Linked DNA regions of Callithrix jacchus. The protein of the gene in region 1 interacts with the protein of each later gene in a pairwise test. Links are inferred from orthologs where the notes say so. Each region holds a gene or a part of one and is shown in the gene's direction. Other genes may lie near its edges. The genes, in order: TMEM79, RPRM, RNF8, TNMD, SFTPC, PLP2 and CLEC7A.

What was found.
Region 2: the proteins of TMEM79 (region 1) and RPRM interact in binary tests that used the Homo sapiens proteins (3 or more experiments, as listed by UniProt). The two-hybrid records come from large-scale screens. The link is inferred for Callithrix jacchus from reciprocal best matches to the Homo sapiens genes TMEM79 and RPRM.
Region 3: the proteins of TMEM79 (region 1) and RNF8 interact in binary tests that used the Homo sapiens proteins (3 or more experiments, as listed by UniProt). The two-hybrid records come from large-scale screens. The link is inferred for Callithrix jacchus from reciprocal best matches to the Homo sapiens genes TMEM79 and RNF8.
Region 4: the proteins of TMEM79 (region 1) and TNMD interact in binary tests that used the Homo sapiens proteins (3 or more experiments, as listed by UniProt). The two-hybrid records come from large-scale screens. The link is inferred for Callithrix jacchus from reciprocal best matches to the Homo sapiens genes TMEM79 and TNMD.
Region 5: the proteins of TMEM79 (region 1) and SFTPC interact in binary tests that used the Homo sapiens proteins (3 or more experiments, as listed by UniProt). The two-hybrid records come from large-scale screens. The link is inferred for Callithrix jacchus from reciprocal best matches to the Homo sapiens genes TMEM79 and SFTPC.
Region 6: the proteins of TMEM79 (region 1) and PLP2 interact in binary tests that used the Homo sapiens proteins (3 or more experiments, as listed by UniProt). The two-hybrid records come from large-scale screens. The link is inferred for Callithrix jacchus from reciprocal best matches to the Homo sapiens genes TMEM79 and PLP2.
Region 7: the proteins of TMEM79 (region 1) and CLEC7A interact in binary tests that used the Homo sapiens proteins (3 or more experiments, as listed by UniProt). The two-hybrid records come from large-scale screens. The link is inferred for Callithrix jacchus from reciprocal best matches to the Homo sapiens genes TMEM79 and CLEC7A.

What each region holds. Positions count from the first base shown.
Region 1 is NC_133519.1:16,674,472-16,678,836, forward strand, and holds the start of TMEM79 (transmembrane protein 79), read left to right. Parts: upstream 1-1,347; 5' UTR 1,348-1,456; intron 1,457-2,014; coding exon of another isoform or gene 2,015-2,058; exon of another isoform or gene 2,059-2,169; intron 2,170-2,251; 5' UTR 2,252-2,294; coding exon 2,295-3,051; intron 3,052-3,311; coding exon 3,312-3,525; intron 3,526-4,365.
Region 2 is NC_133507.1:76,581,400-76,585,067, forward strand, and holds RPRM (protein reprimo), read left to right. Parts: upstream 1-1,525; 5' UTR 1,526-1,764; coding exon 1,765-2,094; 3' UTR 2,095-2,980; downstream 2,981-3,668. UniProt on the Homo sapiens protein: May be involved in the regulation of p53-dependent G2 arrest of the cell cycle. Seems to induce cell cycle arrest by inhibiting CDK1 activity and nuclear translocation of the CDC2 cyclin B1 complex.
Region 3 is NC_133505.1:45,694,256-45,698,488, forward strand, and holds the start of RNF8 (E3 ubiquitin-protein ligase RNF8), read left to right. Parts: upstream 1-1,230; 5' UTR 1,231-1,331; coding exon 1,332-1,442; intron 1,443-4,233. UniProt on the Homo sapiens protein: E3 ubiquitin-protein ligase that plays a key role in DNA damage signaling via 2 distinct roles: by mediating the 'Lys-63'-linked ubiquitination of histones H2A and H2AX and promoting the recruitment of DNA repair proteins at double-strand breaks (DSBs) sites, and by catalyzing 'Lys-48'-linked ubiquitination to remove target proteins from DNA damage sites.
Region 4 is NC_133524.1:96,896,306-96,899,812, forward strand, and holds the end of TNMD (tenomodulin), read left to right. Parts: intron 1-883; coding exon 884-1,050; intron 1,051-1,368; coding exon 1,369-1,578; 3' UTR 1,579-2,952; downstream 2,953-3,507. UniProt on the Homo sapiens protein: May be an angiogenesis inhibitor.
Region 5 is NC_133514.1:19,325,178-19,329,469, reverse strand, and holds SFTPC (surfactant protein C), read left to right. Parts: upstream 1-1,472; 5' UTR 1,473-1,504; coding exon 1,505-1,546; intron 1,547-2,285; coding exon 2,286-2,444; intron 2,445-2,790; coding exon 2,791-2,913; intron 2,914-3,137; coding exon 3,138-3,248; intron 3,249-3,601; coding exon 3,602-3,742; 3' UTR 3,743-3,752; intron 3,753-3,963; 3' UTR 3,964-4,177; downstream 4,178-4,292. UniProt on the Homo sapiens protein: Pulmonary surfactant associated proteins promote alveolar stability by lowering the surface tension at the air-liquid interface in the peripheral air spaces.
Region 6 is NC_133524.1:49,709,193-49,713,657, forward strand, and holds the start of PLP2 (proteolipid protein 2), read left to right. Parts: upstream 1-1,423; 5' UTR 1,424-1,526; coding exon 1,527-1,622; intron 1,623-2,640; coding exon 2,641-2,793; intron 2,794-2,900; coding exon 2,901-2,996; intron 2,997-3,824; coding exon 3,825-3,915; intron 3,916-4,177; coding exon 4,178-4,200; 3' UTR 4,201-4,465. UniProt on the Homo sapiens protein: May play a role in cell differentiation in the intestinal epithelium.
Region 7 is NC_133510.1:12,875,686-12,879,103, forward strand, and holds the end of CLEC7A (C-type lectin domain family 7 member A), read left to right. Parts: intron 1-1,551; coding exon 1,552-1,684; 3' UTR 1,685-2,855; downstream 2,856-3,418.

The sequences.
Region 1 (4,365 bases):
CTGGGACTACAGGCAAGCGCCACCACACCCAGCACATATCTATCCCTTACCAGCCAGCAACATTTATTGAACTCCTGTCTTCCGGCCACAGTGCAGGATTCTAGGGACACAGAAGTGAGCAAGCTAGACACTATCTCTGCTCTCACAAAGCTCAAATGACTTTAGGGATAAGGTCTCATAGGAATGACATGCTACTCCCTCACATTTCTATCTCCTGATCCTCACGCTGGAAATCAGGGCAGGTGGGCTCACAGCTAGGAACATGACTGCTTTGTCTTGCTTTAGCTTAAACCTAAGTTTAAAAAGCAAGAGGTTTTTTTAGGCCAGGCCCAGTGGCTCACGCCTGTAATCCCAGCACTTTAGGAGGCCAAGGCGGGCAGATCATGAGGTCAAGAAATCAAGACCATCCTGGCCAACATGGTGAAAACCCCTCGCTACTAAAAATAATAATAAAAAAAATTAGCTGGGCGTGGTGGCACCCACCTGTAGTCCCAGCTACTAGGGAGGCTGAGGCAGGAGAATCGCTTGAACCCGAGACCCAAAGGTTGCAGTGAGCAGAGATCGTGCCACTGCACTCCAGTCTGGGTGACAGAGGGAGGCTCTGTCTCAAAAAAATAAATTAAAAGCAAGGGTTTTATGCTTTTGTTTTTTGGGTTTTTTTTTTTTTTGGCCTGTGTACACATTGTACTGAGAACATAAATTGCCCTTCCACCGCTATGCTCCTGGCTCCAGCCACCCACCTTCTTTCTGTTCCTGAAACAGCCTAAGTCTTTGCCACCCATTGGTCTCACTCACTTGCTGTTCCTCTGCCTGTAACACTCATACTCTTGATTTCCCATCAGATTTCAGCTCAAACATTACCTTACTAAAGAGGTCTTTCCTGTTAAAATTGTCAAACTGATTTAGTTGCTAGTCTTCATTATGTTACCCTAATAGAATATAAGTTTCTCAAGGGCAGAGACCTTGACTGTCATCTTGTTCTGTTCTTCTGTGTCTGCCTAGAAAAGTGCCTAGCTAATAATTGGTGTTCAATAAATATTTACTGAATGAATAAGTGTACAAATTCCATCTCTTTTCTGGGTATCCCAACCTACTCCGAGCACCCTTTGGTGCACAAATTCACTTTCTCCCTCTGCTTTCCTGAGCTGGGAGCCCTTACACATTCCAGGTGCCTAGAATGTGAACTTACCCCTTTGCCCAGATGCATCCCAACTTTCAGAAAGGATGACATCCTCCTCTAAGGCTTTTTTTGTCGGCAGATTCAGCAGGGCGGGGCCTGCCCCTTTAATCTGGGCCCCACCTGCTCTGGTCAGACAGGTTTTGAGACACAGGTAAAGGGAGGGAGACAGAGAGAAATACTTGCAGAGCCAGCAGGTAGCTGGGCAGCTCCCTCCCGGACGGACTGACAGACTGACAGACTGACGGATGGGACCCTCTACTTCACTCCACACGGAAAGTAAGAGGATGTCATGGGTCCAAACTGCAAGGTTTGGAGGACCCTTGATATGAGGGATGGAAAATCAGTCCCATCCAGAATGAGTTGGAGGGCAGCAGGGAGGGGAGAAAGACAGGAAAGAAGGCATGGTAAACAGCCATGATCGGACCTAAAAGTCGAAATAACAGACCCAGGCCCTGCGGAGATGGATGAGGTGGGCTAGTGAGGAGTTTGGGAACTGACCAAGTGCCAATGAAGAGACAGGGTGCCCTGCAACCGTCAGCTCTTTGGGACAGATTAGTTGGCAAATCACTGGTCTCACTTGGAACCCAGGAAGGTTCCAAGGAGGGATGTGTAGGGAGAAGGGGAGATGGGACAGTGGAGGGGAAGCTTCTTTTTCTACAGGAAGATCCTCGGTGGGAAGGAAACTTGGCAAAGTTCTAGACAACTCCTCTACCTCTACCTCCTATTCCTGCATTAGGGTGGTTATGACTCCAGGGGTTTTGGTGGAGGGGCATAGAAGGCGTGGGTGGGGGCTGACTGAGGTCACAGTGCCAGGGCCTGTGTCCCTTGACTCACCCTCTCCTGTTGAATGGCATTTGATGTCGAAAGGGTGCCTCCATTTCATTTCAGCTGTTCACTTCCTTCCCTCCTCCCTCTGTTTCAGCGTCTTCCTCTGTACCACGTTCTTCCTAAGGCTCCAGAAGGGGCCAAAGCCCATGAAGCCAGTTGCCCTGGAGAGTATGAGTTTTGTCAACCCATCCTAAAAACTAGAAGACCGGGGTTTCTGACAGAGCTTTCCTCTGCTCCTTGCAGGATGACATGACATTGTGGTAGATCCCAGAACTGAGGCTCCAGGATGACAGAACAGGAGCCCCTGGCCCTGCTGGAAGTGAAGAGGTCTGAGGCCCCAGAGAAGAGCTCGCCCCAGGCCTTGGTCCCCAATGGCCAGCAGCCAGAAGGGGAAGGTGGGGTCGAGTCCCCGGGAGCTGAGTCCCTCCGAGTGGGATCTTCAGCTGGGTCTCCTACAGCCATAGAGGGAGCTGAAGATGGTCTAGACAGCACAGTAAGCGAGGCTGCCACCTTGCCCTGGGGGACTGGCCCTCAGCCCAGTGCTCCGTTCCCAGATCCCCCTGGCTGGCGGGACATTGAACCGGAGCCCCCTGAGTCAGAACCACTTACTAAGCTAGAGGAGCTGACCGAAGATGATGCCAATCTGCTGCCTGAGAAAGCAGCCCGTGCCTTCGTGCCTATTGACCTACAGTGCATTGAGCGGCGACCCCAAGATGACCTTATCGTGCGCTGTGAGGCAGGCGAGGGCGAACGCCGAACCTTTGTGCCCCCCCGGGCCACCCACCCCAACTCCACTGAGTGCAAGTGGGCTGAGGCAGTGGTGAGGCCGCCTGGCCGTTCCTGTGGGGGCTGCGGAAGCTGTGGAGACCGTGAATGGCTAAGGGCCGTGGCCTCTGTGGGAGCTGCACTTCTCCTCTTTCCCTGCCTACTATATGGGGCATATGCCTTCCTGCCCTTTGATGTGCCACGGCTGCCCACCATGAGTTCCCGCCTGATCTACACACTGCGCTGCGGGGTCTTTGCCACCTTCCCCATTGTGCTGGGTGAGCCCGTGAGACAAAAGGGGGCATCGGGAAGCCCGGCATGGGGAGCAGGAGGGTTTCCCTTCACTTGGCCTGGGCCCCTCAGTGTCTCCCACCCCCCACCACTCTGCATGCCCATCTCCTCCCAGGACCACCTCCACCCCACTGTGTAAAGCCCATGGCCATGTACCACCCACAGTGAACCTGCCCCCAGCTGACCGCTTCTTGCACGCATCCCTTGCCTATTCTGACCCTACCCTGTATTTCCCAACTCCACCCAGGGATCCTGGTGTACGGGCTGAGCCTGTTATGGTTTTCTGCCCTTCGGCCCTTTGGGGAGCCACGGCGGGAGGTGGAGATCCACCGGCGATATGTGGCCCAGTCGGTCCAGCTCTTTATCCTCTACTTCTTCAACCTGGCCGTGCTTTCCACCTACCTGCCCCAGGATACCCTCAAGCTGCTCCCCCTGCTCACTGGTCTCTTTGCCATCTCCCGGTAAGTTGGGGCAGGGGGTGGGGCATGGGAGAGGGGCATCTGAATGTCTGGAGAGCCAGGGGCAGGAGCTTTCTGGATTCTACACTGGCCCAAATGTGTGCCCTAGAGAGATAAGTCCACTTTCTCTTTCGCACCTTAACTCAACTGGTAGCAGATGGTCAGCTCATATGTCTTCCATAGGAAGCTGATTTCAGAGACACATATAACTGTGTAGAACGAGAAGGCTTTCAGGTGTCATCTAGATCAATGCACCTATTACAGCCACTCCTGTGGCAATCTGGTCAGGTAGCTTTTTTGGTCTCTAGTTGAATACCCCCTGTGACCAAATGTGCAATTTAAAAAATATATATATATATTTAAAAATAGAGACAAGGTGCGGTGGCTCATGCCTATAATCTCAGCACTTTGGGAAGCTGAGGTGGCGGATCATTTGAGGTTAGAAGTTTGAGACCAGACTGGCCAACATGGTGAAACCCTGTCTCTACTACAAATACAAAAATTAGCTGGGCATTATGGTGCATGCCTGTAGTCCCAGCTACTCAGGAGGCTGAGGGAGGAGAATCGCTTGAGCCTAGGAGGTGGAGGTTGCAGTGAGCCAATATAGTGCCACTGGACTCCAGCCTGGACGACAGAGCTAGACTCCATCTCAAAAAAATAAATAAAAAGCTGGGCTTAACAGCTTACGCCTGTAATCCTAGCACTTTGGGAGGTGGGCAGATCACAAGGTCAGGAGTTCAAGACTAGCCTGGCCAACATGGTGAAACTCTGTCTCTACTAAAAATACAAAAATTAGCCAGGTGTGGTGGCAGGTGCCTGTCAGCTACTCGGGAGGCTGAGGCA
Region 2 (3,668 bases), on another chromosome or scaffold:
AACCAGAAGGCATTTAGTTCTATTTTATGATAGTCATGAAGCAGAGCAAAAACATTTAAGCAACACTCTGAAGATGGAATAAATGATGTTTTAAGAGACAGAAATAAGAGGACTTATGAAGCAAACAGAATGAAATTAAGAATAGAGTTAAAATGGCAAGACAGCTACTGTTTTCTAGTTTCATTTTAATTTTAATTGATAAATAATTGTACATATTTATGAGGTACAAAGTGATATTTTGATACACATATACATTGTGGAATGATTAAATCGGAGTAGCATAGCTATTATCTCAAATTTTTATTGATTCTTTGTGGTGAGAACATTTAATAGAAAGTAAGAGTATGCCATCAAAAGTTCAAGTTACTGGTTTTCAGCTGTTACAGTTGAAATAAAGAGGGAGGAAGGCAGGGAGTAATGGGGAAGAAGAGGGATGGGAAAGAAAATAAAAAAGAAGGCGTGGGAACATGCAGTATTCTTTAAGAGTTAAGAAAATCTGACAGGTTTATACAATTTCATTGAAACCTACAGTAAAATCACAATGGCTGGAACTTCGACCAGGCCCATAAAAACATCTGTTTTTAGTTTAAAATGACTAAGGGCTAAATGCATCAGCTTATGGAAAATGCGGAGGGTTCCCAGCATTTGGCCAGCGTTCTAGATGATGGATGTTGGTGAGCAATTCCCTTAAACAACTGATTTACTGCCAGCGGTCAAAATACTGGAAGTACATCCAAACACTCATCTGCAATTAAAATTACAAGCAAGTGGTCACTCTGTTCACCTCCTTTACTAGAGAGGTGACCCTGCTCCCGGCAACCACCTCCACCCAAGGGCCACAGAGTAACTCCTCCTTCCTCTAACCCCCTTCCCTTGGCCTCAAACCTCACGAGAAAACCTGCTTTGCACTGTCTCCCAATCGTTTTTATAAAGGAGGTTGGGTGTAGAGCTCTTCTTTCTCCCTCCCTTCCTTTTTACTTTTCCTTCCTTCGTTTCTGCCTTCTTCCATGCCTTTCTGTCTTGCCAAATTCATTACTTTGTAAGAAACATTCTCAGATCACACCCACTACACTAGAAATCCAACTCAGGCGAGATGGAGTCAAGAGCAGGCGGCGGGCGGGTGGCCTCGGCCGGTACCATCTGGCACCTGCAATTTATCGCCACTTTCCATCCGCCCAGAGGGCAGGGGGGCAGCAGCAAAGGACACGCAGAGCTGGTGTGTCCCAGTTCCTCTGAAACTTTCAGCTGACCGCACCCCCCCCCCAAACTATTTAATCATCCATCAAGCCGGAATAGTACTGTGACCTCTGCCTGGCCTTTAGAGTTTGCAAAAGAAGCAAGCAATAAAAAGGAAGACCAGGTTCGCCCCTTTGCTTCCTCCACCGCCCGAGAGCAGCGCGCAGCGCAGCGGTGCGGCCGGAAGGGGCCGCTGTTCGCTCAGTGCAGCCGCCCCGCCGCTGCAGCCGCCGCGCCCGCACCTCCCACGGCGGGGCTGGCCCAGCCCCGCCAAGTTCCAACAGCCCCCAGTCGAGCAAGCGCCGGGAACGAGCACCGCCTGGGCTGGAGCGGACGGCGTTAGAAGAGCCCAGCAGCTGCGCGCGTCGGAGAGGCTCCTGAGAAACTCCCACGGTCCAGGACTTTCGAAAGCAGAGCGAAGAGCCCTCGCGCGCGCAAGTCTGCGAGTGAGCGCTCAGCCCGGCACCTGTTCCTACAGCGCCGGTTCCTTCTCACCCCTCGGATCCGCGGCGCCCACCGGCTCCTGCGATGAATCTGGCCCTGGGCAACCAGACCGACGTGGCGGGCCTGTTCCTGGCCAACAGCAGCGAGGCGCTGGAGCGCGCCATGCGCTGCTGCACCCAGGCGTCGGTGGTGACCGACGACGGCTTCGCCGAGGGAGGCCCGGACGAGCGCAGCCTGTACATCATGCGCGTGGTGCAGATCGCCGTCATGTGCGTGCTGTCGCTCACCGTGGTCTTCGGCATCTTCTTCCTCGGCTGCAATCTGCTCATCAAGTCCGAGGGCATGATCAACTTCCTCGTGAAGGAAAGGAGACCGTCTAAGGAGGTGGAGGCGGTGGTCGTGGGGCCTTACTGACCCGCCCTCCGCCCCCGCGGCAATCGCTCCCACGCCTGCCCACTTTGCCAGCCCGGCTGTGCCCCTCTCCATCAGAGACTGGGCGAAGCAAACCTGTCGGAGTCGATTATTTCTCTTGACTTCCGCCTTTCTGAGAGAAGCGACCGGTTTCTCCCTCGCCCTCTGAAAGTCCTCATGCCTGGCTGTCGGAGGAGAGCGCCCAGACTTCTGGACTCAGCAGAAAGTGACAAGAAGAGGGTGATTAGGGCGCAGAACTTTGGAAGCTGCTACTTGCTTGGAATGCGGGGAGACCGACGGGGCGAAGGTCCTTTTCCACCCGCAGGTGGGCCAAGCTCTGGGGGCAGGTGGAGAGGGCGGGCAGGGGAGAAACCAGAGGCACTGATCGCCTTGTGACCGGAAAAATGACCTGTTAAAAACCACGCAGCAGACATGATGGGGTCGCACAAATCCGTGTCGGGATGCGCTCTCACTCTTCTCCCTCCCTGGAGGGGAGAGGCGATAAATACCTTTGATTGTAACGTGCCGTTTTAAAAGGTTCTGTGTTTGTTTGCTTGAATACAAATATTTGATGAGTCTTTTTCTGCCCCCGTGGCCTGTTTGCCTGCCTGAGGGGTTAGAGTTTTGTCATTGTGGGAAAAGGGTGGGGGGAGGGGAAGCCTGCGAATTTGAACGGGGTGCGTTGTTTCTTTTAGTGCATTTCCCACTGGGTCTTTTGGGAGGTGCCTGGCGTTCCTGCTGGCCCTAGGACAAAGACCTAAAATAGAACTCGTAGCTCGTGACTGCACGGTTTACGCCACAAAAGTGCTCTTGACATCCGTGACACAGTTTTGACTTTTTGTTTTTTTCTTATTTAACATTTCCTTAATAAATGCAACATTTAAGCGTTTGGTTCCTGGCCTCCTGGTGGTCATTCTGCGCTCCCCAGCAGGGAAAACCGGGCGGCGGTGAGGAGTCTGGCTCTCGGCCAGAGCAGTTCACCTTGGAGAGCTGCGATTCAACTTGTGGATCCCGTGGAGGGGCGAAGGTCTGGGCCAGACGGAGAGGCCCAGGGATGAGTGAGACAGACCCCAGACTCAGGCACAGGAGTCGTCCTGGAAGCAGCATCCTTTGTTTTCTCTTATCGTTAATATTTTATATTTCATTTGGTCTCAGCTCTCAGGTAGGCTAGACGACAGCAGGGCCCCCGCGGGAAGATTACACTTCCGTGCCAGGCTCCGGCGGGAACAGGATTACACCGCTAATGAAAGGAAGAGACGGCTTGGCCAGCCTTTAGGGAGAGAGTCTCTACCCTAACTAACGTCAGCTAGGCGGCTCTGGGATGCTGCCCATGGTAGGGGAAGACATTATAAAATGCGAGGAAAAGTAGATGCTAAGGTACACAGTGACGTTAGTGATGTTAATACTCCCTGGGGTAAACCATTGTTACTAAAACATGAGATGCATTATTGTCGATGCCCTATTACTTTTTCTAACAAAAAGACCAGATTAAAAGATTCAGCCTGCTCTTTGTAATTGAGTCTGCCGGAGACCAGGCAAAGGGCTCAGAGGAGTTAGCCGAGGTCCTGAATGTGGGA
Region 3 (4,233 bases), on another chromosome or scaffold:
ACCTCTGTGGTCTTCCTCCTCCAAATCCATAACCCCAGTCTCATCACAAGAAAAACATCAGACAAATCCCAACTGAGGGACATTATACAAATATCTCTCTAGTACCCCTCAAATTGTCGAGGTCATCAAAACAAGGAAAGACTGACAATCTATCACAGCCAAGAGGAGTCTAAGGAGACACACAGACTAAATGTCACAGTGGTTTCCAGGTGTGCTTGCTGTTCCTGGGATAGAATGCCAAGGTGGGGTGGGGCCACCAACAGATACCTATGCACAGCTTAGGGAAGCATTTCCATGAGTGCAGCTTTGACTCCCACCTACCTTCCTGGCCCCCTCCCCTCCCCTTCCCTCCGTTCCTCCTCCTCTCCTCTCTCCTCCCCTTTCCTTCGTTCCCGCCCCTCTACCCTCTCCTCCCTTTCCCTCTGTTCCCGCCTCTCCCCTCCCTTCACCTTCCCTCCGTTCCTGGCCTCTTCCCCTCCCCTCCGCTCCCCTCCCAGACGTTCCGGGTCCCCTTGTCTCCCTCCCCTCCTCTCCCCTCCCCCCTCTTTTTTGAGACGGGGTCTCCCCAGGTTGGCCTGGTTGGTCTGGAACTCCTGAGCTCAAGCGATCCGCCCCTCTCAGCCTCCCAAAGTGCTGGGATTACAGCACTTCCATGACTTTTTAATAAATTAATTTATACACTTGTGCAACTGTCACCACAATCCACTTTTAGAACATTTCTATTACTGCTTTCCTTCCATTTCTCCAACCCCATCTGCATTAATCCCCGCTCCCACACCTCGCCCCAAGTAACTGTGCTTTCTGTCTTTGTAGATTTGCCTAGTGTAATTTATTTTTTGCTTCGGCAATATGAGGAGGTCGTGCAAAATAGAAGCTATTTAGGAACAGGCTAAGCGGACTTAAAACTGATGGAAAGTTTAAAGTTGTTTAAAAGTGGGCTATAGTTTTACATGATTTTTTTAAAAAAGAGGAAAGGTGAGGAGAGGTTCCAGTCTGGGGCGGCTAGGACTAGGTGATGGTTTGGGAGCTGGCAAAAGAAGGTGTCACGTGACGAGGAGAGCCCTCGAGCCGCGCCCGCCCCGCAGGAGTCGAGATCCGCTACCAGCCAACCCTCTCCGCCCCGGGGCGGCTGCCTTCCTCTCGCGCAGGTGCAGTGCTCCTGCTTCCGGGTCGACGGCGGGCAGGCGGAGCTTGTATTCGCATCGATGTGAGCGCGTGGCGATTGCTTCTGTCTGTTGTTTAGCTATGGAAGCTGCCTGGTTGCTGCGAGGCTGCAGGAACCCGGGTCGGGGTCTAGTTCCGTGCTGACCGCCCCCGGGGTCGAGTAGACGATGGGGGAGCCTGGCTTCTTGGTCACGGGAAACCGCGCCGGTGGTCGGAGCTGGTGCCTGCGGCGGGTGGGGATGAGCGCCGGGTGGCTGCTACTGGAAGATGGGTGTGAGGTACAAGGGAAGGCGTCCTGTGGGGCGGAGGGCAGGGGCTGGAGGGAGCGGGGCTCCGGAGAAGGAGGAAGGCGTCTAGGTGGGCGGAATGAATGGCAGAGAGGAGGCAGGCACACAGAAGACGAACGAGGGGATGGGGGGGGTGGATCCTGGGGAGAGAAGGGAGGGAGCGGTTCTGGCTCGAGCGGCTGAAGGGTCTAAGGTGGGAGGTATTTGGGGAGAAATAGGGACCGAGTGGGAGAAAGGAAGAGAAGAGAGTTCGGCTCTGGAGGGCCACAAGGATTGGGGTGAGGACGAGGCCTGGCCCGCGGGCGGTGGGGCGAGAAGAGGGCCCAGCCCAGAGAGGCCTGGGTCTGCGGGGAGTGGGGTCGGGGCCGGGAAGGAGAGGGACGCGCAGAGGATGTGAGGAGAAGCGGTGTTATAGCGGAGTGGAGGGCGGGGCCTGGCCAGATCCCATTTAGGGCGCCCGGAGCCCAGCGGTGCCGGGCCTGGGAACAGTGGATTGGAGCCGCGAGCCGCTGGGCAGCCGAGGCGGGGCCTGGAAGGGCTGCCCGGAGCTTGAACTTTCTCGAGTTTGCTTTGAAAACGAATGCGAGTTTTGGGTTTTGTCCCTTAAAGTGATCAAACTCTCAAGTAGAAATGTCTTCCTCCTTCCCACCTCTGAGGAACAGGGGCGCCTTAGGCTGGGCCGCATTTCTCCCGCGAAGCTCGGTACGTCCGAGTGGCACCCCTAAAGGAGGGATCGGGCAGGGATTCCGAGTTCTCTCCAGAGGATGCCTGTCGCCTTTGTTAATATAATTCCAAATGAAAATTTTTTAAAGGGGAAAGATGAGGCACGTTCCTGGCACGGTTCAAGATGCACTTTGAAGATGATGCATCCTCAAAGGGCGAGGGAAGGGAGGATGGAGTTAGATTGCAATCAGGTTGAGAGGAAAACTGAGTCAGGGACAAGCTGGTGATGACGGGGAACCATTTGGGTTTTGGAAATCTGTATGAAAGGTTCCCTTTGCAGTAAAAGTGGATAGTTGGTCGTGATGTTGTAAACTCAAAAAGTCTTTTGAGCCTTACGTATGTTCAGGTAGATTTTGCCTGTAAGTCATACTCCTCAATTCAGTCTGCCAGGTGTTGACAGAGTACATAACATTGGTGTACAATGAGAACACATAAAATTTGTGAGCTCAAAGAGTTTCAGGCTTAAGTGGGGAGAGAGGATTTATACAATGAAGCAGTCTAAGAACTGTATATGGGCTGTATGATCAAGTGCCAAGATATGGATTATTTAGTTCCATCCCAGAGCAGTAGTTCTTCAAGTCAGGGGAGGGATTCATGTTCAGGCTCAACTTTAGTTGCTAGATTAGAGAGGGTTATAAAGGGTTACTTGTATGTCGTGATTTCGGGAACATGAAGAAAACACCTCTGCCCCCAAATACCTCTTCTATCCAGGTGTTAGTGCCCAAAAGTCCACATTAGGCATTCATTCCTTTAGCTTGAGCACTGACCTTTCCCTGCCTGGCCCTTTCCAACAGTATATGTTTCTGAGAAGTTTAACAAATTAAAACACCAACACCTGAGTAATAACCTGAACAGTACACACAAAATAAATTATTTTTATGTATAACTGTTACTTAATACATTATTGAATGTGATCCCTGCATACACACAACCTTGTAAGTTAACTTAGTGGGCAGGTGTTACTCCTTTAGATTCCGTTGTTGTGGATTAATTTATGACTTCTGAATAGCTTGGTAGGACTGCAGCCTTGGGCAAGTGGGATGGGGAGGAAGGATTAAAGCACCTGCAGGAAGGGCAAGAAGACTATAAAGCACTCTTAGACATATTCTACACATTTTGATCGTTTTGTGTCAGGGCCACTTCTATGGGGAGAGACCCATACAAACTGAGTGAATGATGACACAGTGTTAAGACTGGCTGGCTTCAGGGACCTGTGTGGAGGAGAGGCCTGCAAGGTCAGGTCATGGCATAGCCTGAAAAGAAATCTGAGTCAAAGGCAAGAGAAGTTGTAGTTATTGTAATGGTCCCCAAATCATAGGACAAGCTGTTTTGCACAAGATTTTAGGAGGTATACTAATAACATTGTAACAGCAAAGTAGGTCAGTTCCCTGCCTTTCCTGTTCTTAGTCTCAGATGTTGCAGATAAAATAATAAAACAGAGTTCCCTTCATTTCATTGATGGGAATACTGTAGTAAATCGGTTGTCTAAATAAGTGGCTTTAAGCTTGTTAAAGCAATGCATGGAGTTTGGTGGAAAAACAATTAGAGATTTATTGCAAATTAGCTAGTTCTCAGGTACTATAAAGAATCTTTGCCTTTGAGGAAACCAACAGAACCTTTCTCCCCTTTTATTCTCTTGTATTTAGTTTTCATGAAGTTTTCTGCCCCAAGGGAAAGGATGGTTATATTTACTGGTTTGGGGCTTTTTGTTTTGTGGTGCTTTTTTTTTTTTTTTTTTTGACAGAATATTCCATCACCCAGGCTGGAGTGCAGTGGTGTGATCACACCTCCACCTCCTGGGTTCAAGGATTCTTCTGCCTCAGTCTTCCAAGTAGCTGGAAGTAGCTGGAATAGTAGGAATTACAAATGTGCACCGCTATCCCTGGCTAATTTTTGTATTTCCAGTAGAGAGGGGGGTTTCACCATGTTGGCCAGGCTGGTCTTGAACTCCTGGCCTGCTCGCCTGGGCCTCCCAAAGTGCTGGGATTACAGGTGTGAGCCACCACACCCGGCTGTATTTCCTGGTTATTTGGGAAACAGTAGAAATTGTGCGCAGGAG
Region 4 (3,507 bases), on another chromosome or scaffold:
GTAGTTGAGGGCTAGAGGTCCAGAGTTGAAGAGCCCAGCCTTCAACTTCCAGTCAGCCCATAGAGAAGGTAAAGACCCCTGGATGTCTTACTCTGTTTAGCTAACATGGAATTTGGCCTCCTTCATTCTGCACAACATAGACTACTCTATTACCCAAGAGAGGTTATTCCCACCAATTTAAGCATCTGTGGGTTCTCTTTGGAGATATAAGAAAGGAGACTAAATGCAGTGTGGTATCCTGGACTGGATGCTAGAACATAAAAAGCACATTAGTAGAAATACGAATGAAATCAGAATAAAGTCTGTAGTTTAGTTAATAACCTTGTACCAATGCTAACTCCTGATTTTTTATCATTGTACCACAGTTATATAAGACAACATTAGGGGAAACTGCCTTAAGAATATGTGAACTCTGTACCACTTCTGCAAATCTTCCATAAATCTAAGATTATTTCTAAACAAAAAGTAAAAAAATAAATAAATAAATAAGACAAGAAACATAAGGGAAGTGGGAGGATGTCAAATCAATTCAGGCAAGCAAGAAATATTTATTGAGCATCTATCATGGGTAAAGTCATCATTGTAGGAGATACAGAAGTCCCCTGTCCTCAGTTTTTAATTTAGTATGCTAGTAAGGCAACGCAGTAAATGTTTGATGCCAAAGAAGCAAAGAAGTCTGTGTATGTATAAATGATCAGACTTGTTTTGGAAACTACTCTAAAATATCAGCTGAAGGAGCTTGGAAAAGTGGTCCGTGCCTAAATGATGCCAGTTTGAAGACACAATGATGAAAATCTCTCTCCCCAGCTGCTATTCCCCCAAGCGCTTCTTTCAGGAACATTTGCAAAGCAGTTGCATCACAACTTTGCATTTATTATCTTAGTTTCTGAGTTACAAGACTTTGAGGAGGACGGAGAAGATCTTCACTTTCCTGCCAATGAAAAGAAAGGGATTGAACAAAATGAACAGTGGGTGGTCCCTCAGGTAAAGGTAGAGAAGACCCGTCACGCCAGACAAGCAAGTGAAGAAGAACTTCCGATAAATGACTATGTGAGTTATGTTTATGTAAACTCTTGATAGAGGAGAAAAAAAGAGCCCTCACAAAACTTACTACCCCTCAGATCATAGTCATTGGAAGGAGAATGAGCATGGCTTTAACAAAAAATGTTTAAGAAACTTGGACTCTCCAGGAGGCTCATTCAAAATCAGTCTTGATCTCTGTAGATATATCTCCATGATCAGGCTAAGGAGCTTAATTTCACACAAGCCCCCAACTCATACAGTCTTCTAGTTCTCCCCTGCTCGGTGAGAACTCTTGCTAGTGAACCTTCCTCTCCCACCCCCAACACTGGCTTCTTCTTCTTTCAGACTGAAAATGGAATAGAGTTTGATCCCATGCTGGATGAGAGAGGTTATTGCTGTATTTACTGCCGTCGAGGCAACCGCTACTGCCGCCGCGTCTGTGAACCTTTACTAGGTTACTACCCATATCCATACTGCTACCAAGGAGGACGGGTCATCTGTCGTGTCATCATGCCTTGCAACTGGTGGGTGGCTCGCATGCTGGGGAGGGTCTAATAGGAGGTTTGAGCTCAAATGCTTAAACTGCTGGCAATATATAATAAATGCATGCTATTCAATGAATTTCTGCCTATGAGGCATTTGGCTCCTGGTAGCCAGCTCTCCAGAATTACTTGTAGGTAATTCCTCTCTTCATGTTCTAATAAACTTCTACATTATCACCAACAGCCTGATTGCTGCTGAACACACTGGGTAAGTGTTTGCTGAGAATATTCCCAGCAATTAAAATGGAGCTGACCTGTCTAACATGGATGACTATGTTGAGGCTCAGAAAACAATGCCCCAAAATGAAGGCCTCAGAAGCAAAACTTTTGCTCTGACCTTCTGCCTACCAGTCTCTCAGTCCCATTCTCTCCCAAGGCTAGCCATAGAAACTAGAATCCCTCTTCCTCAAGGCGTGTCATAGAAACCAGAATCCCTTTTGTCTAAAGCCAGCCGTTAAACCTAAAAATATTACTCTGATTTTCCCTCCACTTTTCTGTGTAAAAGCTGGCCATAAGGAAATTATCTGACCTATCTTGTTTGGCTGTAGGTAATAAGACTCCCTTCCCAGAGAGGATCCATCAGGTTTGGAAGTAGAAAAGGTCAAAGCATAAAGATACTTAAATACCATATTGTACTCTGCTGTGTTAAGACAGTGGAAATAAGGGGCTGATGATAAAATGTCTCCATAACTGATGCATTAAAAACATATCCTTTTGTGCATAGCCCCAGTGTTTAATTATATAAAAGACATATTGTGAACTTGCTTAAGTATCAATTAAGCTGCTGGACAGGCAGTGAGTCACAGCAGGCCAACACTAAAATATTCCAAATGTGCAGACTCAGCAAAGGAGAAAGCTAAACTAGCAAAAAGGGTCTCGGGCTCTCCTATAAACAGGAACTCAACTTAGGACAAATTCAACATTCCATAGCCTTTGCATCTGGCTTCTCTTTAGATCAGTGTCTGATTAGATACCTTCCTAAGGCAGTTGTCTAAAAAACAAAAACCCATGAATATTATTCACAGAAACAGACATCATAGGAAATTACTGAGGTGAGAAATCAAATGGGATTTTCTTCCCAAACCACAAAGAACCTGCAATATACCACTTTCTTAACGAAAAGGTAAGGCCTAGTTCCCAATCACTTTATACTTTGCTTGGAAAGGAAAAGGGAGCAAAGGGGAAAGGAAAAGAAGTGGTTAAAAGCTAAGGTTAACCTTGATGTCCCAGCCAGTTCCAGTTTCAAAATTCATGCTCTACCAATCTGTCACCCCTTCTAGTTTCATTTGAAGGTAGCATTCTTCATTGCTCAACTTCAAAGTTATTGTATCATGAAAATGTCTGTCTGGAATTTTCTATCAGAAAAGTATTTTCAAATAAAATCTTCACCAAGATGCCTGTGGGCCAGGAGTCATTTTCTCCCATTTAAGAGTTGAGGAAATTTATAGAAACGGCTTTGCCCAAGGTTGAGTTAAGATGAGCCAGTCATTAATTGGTAATTAGCAAACATGCCATACTTGGATTACCAATTTTCACAGAATGAGAGCACAATAAAATATATCTAACAATGCACGTTACTGAAAATATTTCTAATTAATGATTTAGAAGAAATCTGATTGTTTTAGAGTACTTTGATGATCATAACAAGCATTAATTTATAGTTTAAATAGTAAAATGTAAAAGATATGAAATTACTTTGAGGTTATATGAACTTCATGATGTTTCTATAGTTTTTTTTTAATAAGACTACTCATTTTTAACATTGCTTTCTTAGATCAGCCAATAATTTTATTTATTTTTTTCTATTTGTTTTATTTTTCCATAGGTTATTGGGATACAGGAGGTATTTGGTTACATGAGTAAGTTCTTTAGTGGTGATTTGTGAGCACTCAAGCAGTACACACTGCACCCTATTTATGGTTTTTTATTCCTTCACACCCCC
Region 5 (4,292 bases), on another chromosome or scaffold:
GAACTGAGGTGGCATGTTAAAGGTAAAGGATACGAGCTGGTTAGGCGTAGTAGTTCATGTCTATAATCCTAGTACTTTAGGAGGATGAGATCACTTGAGCCCAGGAGTTCGAGACCAGCCTGGGCAACATGGCAAAAACCCAGCTCTACAAAACATATGAAAATTAGCTGGGTGTGACGGCATGTACTTGCAGTCCCAGCTACTCGGGAGGCTGAGGTGGCAGGATCACCAGAGTCCAGGAGGTCAAGGCTGCAGTGAGCAGTGATCTTGCTACTGCACACCCGCCTGGGTAATAAAGTGAGACCCTGTCTCAAAAAAAAAAAGAAAGGAGGTTAAGAGAGCAAGGCCTAAAGAGGGAGGCGTGGACTCTGCCTCAGTCACCTGAGTTGGGAGGTGAAGGGACTTCAGAGACCACCTGGCCCAAAGAGTGAAAGGGAGCTGAGAGGAAGGGTGAGTCAGCCCAAAGTCATGGGCAGATGTGGCCTTATGAATACGCAGAGATGGCTTTGGGGAAAGCAGTACGAGAGAACGGAGAAGGAGACTGTCCCAAAAGTTGATCATATTTGGGTGAGTAGCATTCTCACAGCAAATTTAGGATCAGAGGATGTAGAAAGGGAGTCTAGAGGGGTGGGGTGTAGACCACAGGGTGAGTGGCTGATTCGAGGATAAGGAGACTGGGAGCCCACCAGTGACCAGAGCCAGCCCTGTGTAGGGCTGTCCAGGTGGAAGAAAACAGTGTCAGACCTGGAATCTGCTATCAGCACAGTCTGCAATTGACAGACATGCCCACAGCAAAGAAGGAAGCACTGCACATGAGTAAGAGCTTGCCACCAGCGGGGACAGAGTTTCCAGAATTAGGAAAATAATGACTGGGGGCAAGTTTGAGGTTGTTACTAGATGTGTGGGAGGAGGCAAGGTGAGAGAAAGAGTGCTTGAAGTGGGAATTCGGCCCTTGCAGGGAAATATACATTTATGAAATACCCAAAACTGACATCAAAGCACCTCCTGCCTTCAGCGAGTCCCCTCAGAATCTACAGGCACTGTCTCCAGAACCCGCCTCCGGGAGCACATCCCTAGTCATGGAGAAATTCTTTTGGGAAATGTGATGGTCAAACCCTTGGCCACCCGAGAGGTTCAGGCTGACAGAAGAACAAGGAAAGCCACAGGGGCAGGTGCCAGCAAGGAAGGCAGGCATGCCAACAAGATACCCACAGTGAGAGGTGCAGATGCCCCAAGGGCAAGTTTGCTCAGCTAACCCAGGTTTGCTCTTGCTGGGGCTAAGAGGACTCATGTGCCAGGGCCAAGGGCCCTTGGGGGCTCTCACAGCTGGCTTATCTGGGCTTTGGTTCTGGAGGGTCAGGAACAAACAGGCTTCAAAGCCAAGGTCTTGGCTGGCACACAGGGGGCCTGGTCCTTCACCTCTGTCCTCTCTCCCTACCGACACATATAAGGCCCTGGTCACACCTGGAGGAGGAGGAGAGGAGAGCATAGCGCCTGCGATAAGATGGATGTGGGCAGCAAAGAGGTCCTGATGGAGAGCCCGCCGGTGAGAGAGAGCAGAGAGAGAGAGAGAGAGAGAAAGAGAGAGAGAGAGAGAGAGAGAGAGAGAGAGAGAGAGAGAGAAAGAGAGAGCGAGAGAGAGAGAGAGAGAGAGAGAGAGTGTGTGTGTGTGTGTGTGTGTGTGTGTGTGTGTGTGTGATGGGCCCTGCCTCCTCTAACTTCCCTGCCCTGTTTCCTTATCCAGATCCACTCACACAACTAACGTAGGGCTGTGATAAGTCAGCATGGGGACACCAAGACCACTAAGCCAGAGACCCTTGGGAAGCAGTTCATGGGCCGAGAGCCACTATAGGGGTTGATGGAAAGGGCTGTTTGTAGACAGCCCCAAGCAAGAAGTCATGAAATACACCAGAGGTCAGGGGATACTTCACAAAGGAAATGTCACTCCTACTTAATGGGGGTGATCACTTGGGGAACAGAGAGGGGCTGGCCATGGCTGGGATGCCAGAGGGCTGGGGTAAGCGCAGGAAGAGACAGGTGAAGCAGGCTCTCTGGGGTCCCTCAAAACTAGACCCTGCTTCTCAGCTTCTGTGTGTCTGTGTGTTTGGTAGAATCCAGGCCTTCTCCTTCAAGAAGCCTCCTCTAATCTCAGCCCTTCCCTGCCCATCTGTCACATCAGCTATCCAGCCCTAGGTGGCCATAGGAGGGTGTCCAGCTTGTGCAGGGAGAGGAGGGGATACCCTCATGACCTCACGCCGGTCTCCCTGCCTGCCCCACCCTGTCAGGACTACTCCGTAGCTCCCCGGGGCCGATTTGGCATCCCCTGCTGCCCGGTGCACCTGAAACGCCTTCTCATCGTGGTGGTGGTGGTGGTCCTTGTCGTCGTGGTGATTGTGGGAGCCCTGCTCATGGGTCTCCACATGAGCCAGAAACACACGGAGATGGTGAGAGGTGTGGGATGGGGCAGCAGTGGGGCACAGGACATGCCAGACAGAGGGGCTGGGTGGGATGGGCGTTAGGAAAGTGTCCAAGGGGAGTGGAGGGGAGGCAAGGGGCACAGCTAGAAGGAAAGAGGCAGGAACCAGGTGGCAACCCAGCCCAGGCTTTTCCACAAGGCCCCTGTCCTGCAGCAGGACAGCTGACTCCCTCCATCACCTGGTTCCACTCAGCCTCCCTGAGCTCTCGGGAAAGAGGGAAGCACATCTGAGTACAGAGGTCTCAGTATGTGGATTGGTACTGCAGGCTGATTAGGAAAGGGGAAGACCAGGCAGATCTGTGCGCTTTTCCCAGGTCCTGGAGATGAGCATTGGGGCCCCGGAAGCCCAGCAACGCCTGGCCCTGAGTGAGCATCTGGGTACCACTGCCACCTTCTCCATCGGCTCCACAGGCCTCGTGGTCTATGACTACCAGCGGGTGGGTATGCCGGGACCTCCTGACCCTGGGATTAATGACAAGACTCTGCTAGAGCCACCCAGCTAGGCCACTTCACATCCATCTGTCCCCTCCTCCAGCCCTTTTTGCCTGAACCCCTCCTAGTATGACTCCTGTGCTTAACCTAGACAGATCTGGCTAAGGATCTGGATCAGGGAGGGAGCAGGGCAGGAACCCCCGAATGATCGCCAGCATTCTGTGTCCAGCTCCTGATCACCTACAAGCCAGCCCCTGGCACCTGCTGCTACATCATGAAGATTGCTCCGGAGAGCATCCCCAGTCTGGAGGCTCTCACTAGAAAAGTCCAGAACTTCCAGGTATGTGTGTGAGTGAAAGGAGTGGGCTGTCTCCCTGCCAGGCCTGCTGGGAGGAGTGTCTGAATGGTGGCTATTTGTCGTCTGTAAAGTACCGTTCCTCGTGGGCTGTGGACTGACTATGCCTCTCCATACTCCCCTGCACGACTCCTTTCCTACCCACCCTGCTGCCAAGCTGCTGGGCTCAGGTGAGCCCACTCACCACCTGGGGGCTTCTGACTCCAGCACAGTCCCCCTTTCCTGGTGAGGAAACAGAGGCTCAGAGAGATTGCCTGACATGCCTGAAGTATGACAATCCGGGCTGCACATGGGATAGAAACTCACTTCCCAGATTCCAAATGGAATGCTTTCTGCAGGCCAAGCCCGAAATGCCAACCTCTAAGCTGGGCCAGGAGGAGGGGCGTGATGCAGGCTCAGCACCCTCCAGAGGGGACTCCGGCTTCCTGGGCATGGCTGTGAGCACCCTGTGTGGCGAGGTGCCGCTCTACTACATCTAGAACGCTTCAGGTGAGCAGGTGTGATCCCAGGGACCCTGATGAGCAGCGGAGGAGCCCTCGGGCCACCTGCGCTGAGCAGTGGAGGAGCGCTCAGGCTGACCAGGCGCTGGGGCGTCCACTGAAGCCTGGTCATTCAGGGAGCTCAGGGGAGGGGAGGCTCATACCCGTATTTCCCACTACCGGGAACCTCTGTCCAACCTCAACGTTCCTTTGCTTCACAGGGTCAGTGGAAGCCCCAAGGGGACAGGAAACGCCCAGAGAAAAGGGTCTTTTGCAACTTTTGCAGACGGGCAAGAAGCTGCTTCTGCCCACACCGCGGGGACAGGCCCTGGAGAAATGGGAATTTGGGGAGAGGATGGGAGTGGGCGGAGGTGGCGCCCAGGGGCCGGGGAACTCCTGCCACAACAGAATAAAGCAGCCTAATTGAAAAGCAAAGGGTCTGCTTCCATCTTCCCGCAGGACGCAGTGCTGCCCCGGCGGCGGCCGGCCAGAAAGGGAAGGGACTTGAGGGAGCAGAGAGGGGTTTGCCATTCTTCCTCTGTCTCAGGGC
Region 6 (4,465 bases), on another chromosome or scaffold:
CCAAAGTGTTAGGATCACAGGTGTGAGCCACTGCTCCTGGCCTTGGGCTCTAACATTAGAAACAAGGCTTGCCCTATTTCTTATCAGCTCAGTGCTCACCAAGCCCTGTTCTCACACAGCCTTTACACGGGTGGGTTCTTATTCCCATCACTGCTCAGAGGTTTATTCCACTGTCCACAATCCATTATCCAAAATTCTGGAGAACAAAAAGCTCTGGAAACTGGTGGTTTTCTGACAAGTTAGGCACTATTTGGTTACAAAACTTGACCTGATCTAATGAGGAACACTTTTCTTTCTTTGTTTTTCCTTTTTTGGAAACAGGATATTGCTCTGTTGCCCAGGTAGGAGTGTAGTGGCATGATCATGGGTTCACTGCAGCCTCGAACTCCCGGGCTCAAGCAATCCTGCCACCTCAGCGTCCGGAGTAGTTGGGATTACAGGCACGTGCCTAGACTAATTTTTTAAATTATCTGTAGAGACGATTATGTTCCCAAGATTGATCTCAAACTCCTGGGCTCAAGCAATCCTTCCACCTGAGCCTCTCAGAGTGCTGGGATTACAGGCATGAGCCACCGCGCTTGGCTGAGGAACACTCTTCAATCCTTACTTAACCAGTTATTGTGAACTTTCATGCTTTTTCTTGAATAAATACTGTTTTTATTATTTTATTTTATTTTATTTTATTGAGACAGAGTTTCACTCTTGTTACCCAGGCTGGACTGCAATGGCGCGATATCGGCTCACCTCAACCTCCGCTTCTTGGGTTCAGGCAATTCTCCTGCCTCAGCCTTCTGAGTAGCTGGGATTACAGGCACGCGCCACCATGCCCGGCTAATTTTTTTTTTTTTTTGTATTTTTAGTAGAGACGGGGTTTCACCATGTTGACCAGGATGGTCTCGATCTCTTGACCTCGTGATCCGCCCGCCTTGGCCTCCCAAAGTGCTGGGATTACAGGCGTGAGCCACCGCGCCCGGCTTTTTAAAATTTTTTTAACGCGTCAGCTCCAAACCCCGGCTGAGAGTATATGCACCGGAAGACTCCGAAATCAAAAATGTTCTGAATTCTGGCAACGTACTGCGCCCCAAGTCTTTCGGATTTAACTCTGCCTCGGCCGTTTTATTCAGTTAAGGAAACTGAGTCACTCCCTCCCAAAGGCAGATTCCCGTGGTTCTAAGTTGAAGCTGTCTCGGGTGCATTTGCATTCCAAAAAGGCTAAGGGTCCCGCTATTACTGCTCATGATACCTGGAGCTGCCGCGCATCCCGCCAGTGGGGCGCCCTGGGGGCTGTGCGTCAGGCTGGGAGTATCCTTGGCGGGCGGGGCGAGGGGGCTTCCGGGGCGGCAGCCACCTGGCCCGGCCCCCTCCTGCCCCGCCCTCGTCAGCTCTGCGCGGTGATTCACTCCCTCCTTCGCCCCGGGGCCCCCTTCCCGGCCAGACGGCGGGCAAGACGGCTGGGTGTGCGGCGTCCTCGAACCCACGAGCAAAAGAGAAGATCCTTCGAGGGCCCAGGGACTCCAGCCCATGCCATGGCGGATTCTGAGCGCCTCTCGGCCCCCGGCTGCTGGGCCGCCTGCACTAACTTCTCGCGCACCCGAAAGGGAATCCTCCTGTTTGCTGAGATTGTGAGCGTCCTGGGGCAGGCGCGTGGGCAAAAGCGGGATGGGGTGGCTGGACCACGCGGAACCGGATGGTCCGGGTGAGGCGGGCACATGGCCGGGGCGCTTGGCAGTAAGGTGCAGGTGGGTGGGTTCACGGTGGAGGCCCGAAACCCGGGGCGCACGGCGAGTCGGTGGGGTTTGGAAAAGAAGGTAGTTGAGATCTAGTGGCCCCGGGGTGAGGCAAGGAGCCTATAACTCATACGGAGGGCTGCGTAGGGGGAGCCTGTGTGGACTCATCAGTGGACGCATCGAAGGGGTCCTGGGGTGCTGGGAAGTGGGGGCCTCCTGCGGCAGGGCGTGGCGCGGCCTGGGCACCGGAGGGCGGGCTGGCAGCGCGCCCAGGGGCAGGGCCTGTTGGGGTGGGGCCCCCCGCGCTAGTCCCGCGGTGTAGAGCGCCCCACCCTTTGCCAGTTCTTCCTCGCCCTTCTGAGGCCGGGCGGGATGTCCTTAGCTTTTCGGGGTTTCCACCCTCCTCAAAGTGGGCGCTGCCTTTGAGTCACTTGTAAAAGGGGTGCGGTGCCTTTAACGGAGTCCCGCCTCTCTGGTGTCACTCTCACCACTTCCCAAAGGGGTTGCTGGGGGAACCGCGTGTCCCGCCTAGGTCAAGGCCACAAAGCCGGCGTCACCGGGGCTCGCAAAACACCTGGCAGCTCCACTCCCCTCAGGCTGCCCATATCCTAGAAGGAAAAGGGGGAGGGAACTGAGGCACCCAAGTCTACTCCTTACTTGCTGGGTGACCTGGGCAAGCCATTAAACCTCTCTGTGCCTCAGTTTTCTCATCTATCAATTAGAGTAATAATAGTACCCAGCATGAGATTGTGGTGATGATTAAGTGAATTTGGAACACAATGAGCACACAAAAAGTGTTTAGCTATTATTATATGTCATTTCCCCAGCCCTGGTAGGCATACGAATATGGGACCCCCAATTTAAACGGATCGCCTCAGCCCTTAGGTCTCCTTTCCCATGTTCCCTTTTCTAGATATTATGCCTGGTGATCCTGATCTGCTTCAGTGCCTCCACACCAGGCTACTCCTCCCTGTCCGTGGTTGAGATGATCCTTGCTGCTATTTTCTTTGTTGTCTACATGTGTGACCTGCACAGCAAGATACCATTCATCAACTGGCCCTGGAGTGTGAGAAGGGGTCAACAATGGCAAGGCCAGGGAGGGGTCTGGGCAATTAGGATTGTCTGGGGAACTCTGGAAGCTGACTCCCCTCTTCTCCTCCCTACACTTCACAGGATTTCTTCCGAACCCTCATAGCTGCGATCCTCTACCTGATCACCTCCATTGTTGTCCTCGTTGAGAGAGGAAACCACTCCAAAATCGTCGCAGGGGTAAAGGTCATGGGAGCAGCTCTGAAGCACAGAGGGAAGGGTTTGAGGAATCAGCCAGGGGCCATTTCTGTCCGTGCTTCTAGCAGAAAGCCTGTGATCCATAGCAAGTCACATTTGTCCTCAGGGCATGCATGTCCCAGGCCTTGGTTTTACCTCCCAAGGTCTTCATTTGCTGTGAAGGCGGTCCCTTGTCAGACACAAGGACCTTGGTGGGAAGTACAATCAGGTGACCCCTTTGTCAATGCACTAGACTACCATCTGCAAGAACTTTTTCCCAAATGTAGTAGGAATTGGGGCCGGGCAGGGTGGCTCATGCCTGTATTCCCAGCACTTTGGGAGGCTGAGGCCAAGGCAGGTGAATCATTGAGGTCAGGAGTTTGAGAACAGCCTGGCCAACATGGTGAAACCCAGTCTCTTCTAAAAATGCAAAAATTAGCCGGGCATGGTGGTGGGTGCCTGTAGTCCCAACTACTAAGGAGACTGAGGCAGGAGAATCACTTGAACCCAGGAGACAAAGGTTGCAGTGAGCTGACATCATGCCACTGTATTCCAGCCTGGGTGACAGTGCGACTGTTTCTCAAAAAAAAAAAAAAGTAGTATAAATTGTGTGTGCTACGTGTAGGACCACAGTGTGACCTCCCTGTGTTGAAGCATAAGGAGGAGGGAGGGTGGGGTAAGATGCCTCCACTGGGGTTCTTTGGCTTCCCAACCTCGGGCTTCAGTCCCATCTGCATGGGGCAGGTGCTGGAGGTGGTGAATACAAGAAGATAAGAGACTGAGTAACCTGACAACCTAATCTAACCCCCCGACTCTGATCCTGTCCCCCAGGTACTGGGCCTAATCGCTACATGTCTCTTTGGCTATGATGCCTATGTTACCTTCCCCTTTCGGCAGCCAAGACATACAGCAGCCCCCACTGGTAAGTGTGTGTGTGTGTGTGTGTGTGTGTGTGTTGGTGGGGGGCAAGGGGGTTGCTGAGAGGGCAGAGGAGAGAAGGAAAGCAATCTCTTAAAGACATGAATGCCAACTCTGTCCAGTGTTGGTACTTATGGGCTTTTGTACCAATAGGTATCATAATCTTCAGTATTCTTGTGCATAAAATGTTCATGGACTTTGGATCTTGTTTTTAAAAATGGGCATATAGATTCAGCCAATGCTTTCTCTCTTTTCCTCACCTGCAGACCCCGCAGATGGCCCAGCGTAGGTGAACTCCCCTCATTTCTCTCTGAAGTCTGCAAATAACTCCTCCATTGAAATACTCCTCTCCATCCCCACAACATTCCCAGCCAACCAATTCCCACCCCCTCATTGAGGTAAAAGTGCCTTTATTGGGAGACTTTTGTCTTCTAGCCTGCCAATCAACCCTCCTGGGTGTGGCCACCGTTATGCTTGTGCCTAGGTCCTCCTTCGGCAGGATCCAATAGGAGATACCAGTTCTGCCTGAACCATAACCCCCACCTAAGTCACAA
Region 7 (3,418 bases), on another chromosome or scaffold:
ATCTATTTTCCTCATCTGTGGCTAATCTGCTATTAAAGGTCTATATTTTTTATTTTGTTTGGTGACATTTTCAGTTCTATAATTTTAGTATGGTTTTTTTCTCAAATCTATTTTTTCAACACTTATACTTCCATTTTCCTTCCAGCATTCTCAGTACTGTCTTTTAACTCTTAGAATACACTAACCATAGTTGTTTTAGCATGTGTCTGAATGTCCTGTATATATCTGTCTATATGTAATTCCAATGTCCTATATGTATATATGTCTCTGTCTCTCTCTCTCTCTTTCTTTTTACTACTTTTCATTTGTGTTGACTAGTTTTCTTTTATGTCAGATTGCTTTTTATAGGGTGTTTAACACTGTATCTTAAAATCTTTGCAGAATTAATTCGAAGTGTTTTTTCATTTGCCTCTGTTCTCACCACAGAGTCTGTTCACCCAATGGTGTGAATGGTACCGACTGCTGAGTATAATCACTTAACTGTTTTACTTCTACTAGGCCAAGTACAGTGAATGTATTAACAAACAATCGGCCAAATGTATTTTCTACTTTTTTATAGAACTTGTTTGTCTTGAGTTTTCTTTTGCTGTTTTAAACATATGGCTAGAGGACTCTTTCTATAATCACAAGCGTGGGCCCAAGTTAACGTTTTGTTTGATATGTTAGTACTCTGTGGTTTTCTTGGTGGCATTTATTTAATCCAGCCCCAAAACACTTAGATGTCAAGGAAAAATTTTTAAAAATAATGCTGATCAGCGTTCTCCCTGAGGTATAAACTAAGTAGTTAATCCTAGTCTTAGTCATCTCTAGAGCAAAGGTTTCTCAGTCTTCCAACCTCAGCGTCAAGAAGAAGAGATAGATACCCAAGACAAAGAGCGCCAAGTCATAGCTTTTGCACTGAGGTGCAGTGATCCTCTTTGAGCTTGACTAATTAACACTGCTCCTTCAGGATTTTGAAGACCAAATTGAATAGGACAGTGCTTCCATTTACCAATGTTGATTACCATAACTGTCAAGCATTGTATTGTGATATAATTCTGCTTTCAGGATAAATTAAAATAAACAAGAGTTGTTTGCCCTTCCTTTAAATGACCTGATTTAAAGGCATCTATGATTCTTTTTTTTAGTTCTTGATTCCTTTCAGCATTAATACTTCTGCTTGGTCTACTCACTAAGTATATTCAATAATAGTTTCACTGAGCTGTTGCTTGATTTGATAAAGAAACATCTAAGTAATAGGTTGAAAGATATATAAAGAACTTTTAATAGAATATTAAATGATTTTTCTTCTTTGCCAGGATCTTTTTTAAGTTTATGCAACTAGTCTTATTTCTTGAATAAAAAAATTGTGTCATTTTTCTGCCTTAAGAATGGAGACTATTCATTTAACCACTTGAGATTAAAAACAATTTAGATTTAAACCCCTTTTTCCAATAATATAAACACTTCGGAACTCTTTTCACCAATATCCTTACTAATTTATTTGAGTGCCATGTGGACAGTATTCCTTAACATTTGTTCTAATTACATCATTGTATTCTATTTTAACAGATTTCAGATCAGAACCACAGCTACCCAAGAAAACTCATCTCTCAATTGTGTATGGATTCATGTGTCAATCATTTATGATCAATTGTGTAGTGTGCCCTCATATAGTATTTGTGAGAAGAAGTTTGCAATGTAAGGGATAGGGTAGAGGAGGAGGGAAGAAATACGTGAGCTAGTAAGGAGGACAGAAAACAGAACAGAAAAGAGTAACAGCAGAAGTCAAAATAAATGCAGAAAATGTTCAGAGAGCTTGGCAAACTGTAATCGTACCCAAGAAATTGAAAGGGGAGGCTGTGGTTTCTGTATTTGTTGACCTACACATAGGCCAGTATTATTGTTCTAGTTAGTAGATCTCTAGACATGGAGTCAGGGCAGTCAAGCTTGAATTTCTTTTCTTTTCTTTCTTTTTTTTTTTTTTTTTTTTTTTTGATAGAATCTCACTTTGTTACTCAGGCTGGAGTGCAATGGCGCGATCTTGGTTCACTGCAGCCATCTCCTCACCTCAGCTCCCCCGAGGTAGCTGGGACTACAGGTGCATGTCACCATGCCTGGCTAACTTTTGGTATTTTTTGTAGAGACTGGGTTTTGCCATGTTGACCAGGCTAGTCTCCAACCCCTGGGCTCAAGTGATTGCCTGCCTTGGCCTTCCAAAGTGCCGGGATTACAGATGTAAGCCATCACGCCTTGCCCCAAGCCTGAAGTTTCATTTTGCCATTGACTTGGTATTTACCTGGGATAAACCATAAGATAATCTTAATTCCCGGCTCTATTAGAGTTGTTTTTGTACTCAAATATGCCATTGAAGTGCATGGTTTGTTGCCACAATTTGTCCCTTAACTTCTAGCAGTATGGAAACTGCTCTCAAAGGAAAGTTTTCTGCTTTTTAAACGCTAGCAACCAAAAAATACACAAAGTCTGTTGATGAATATAAAAAAGTAATCAATCTAATTGGAACAAGCATTAACATTTTGTAATATGAAACATGCTTTATTAGTTTCCTGATGTACTGTTTTATAATTTTTATCATTTTTTTCAGTAACTACTGCAAAAAGGTATTATTGGAATGAAACTATATTTCCTCATGTGCTGATTTGTCTCTTTTCTTTTTTTTCATACTTTCCCACTGGTGCTATTTTTATTTCCAGTGGATATTTCTATATTACTGGGGAGGCATTTGCAGCCCTCTAATGTCAATTAATATGTGAAAAGAAATTGTACAAATTTCACTAAATTATTCACTTTAAAATGGCTGATTTTATGTTATGTGGATTTCATCTCAATAAAAAAAGAAAACTCTTATCAAAAAACCCCTAGCCTCTAAATTATGTGCCCATGTGTCACAATCACTATCACGATTTGCCTTCTCCCCAAAAAATGAATTTGGTGTGGGTGGAGGGAATATTTATAGTAGATATTTTGATATTAAAGCATTAATTAGAGTTCTTAAAAATTTTTTAAATCTAAGAGAAGATGAAGATTTTTGTGAGGTTTACTACTGTTTAATATGCAAATTTATATTGTCATTATTTAAAAATATGTAGAAAGGGATGAGACAGATAGGTGCAGCAAGCCAGCATGGCACACGTATACCCATGTAACAAACCTGCACATTCTGCATGTATATCTCAGAACTTAAAGTAAAATAAAAAAAATAGTTGTACTATATAATAAACATAAGAAAAAGAAAGGGAAAAAATGACATAAGAAAAAACTTTCAATGTCAAAAACCACAATAACTTTTGCACCAGCTTCATACTATCTTTCTTGTATATATCTGCCTTTCTCCATAGAATATAGTCTCTAAAAGAACAGACAGCTTTGGTGTACATGGGTGTACACAACAGTCTGTGACTAGTACTTGCCATATAGC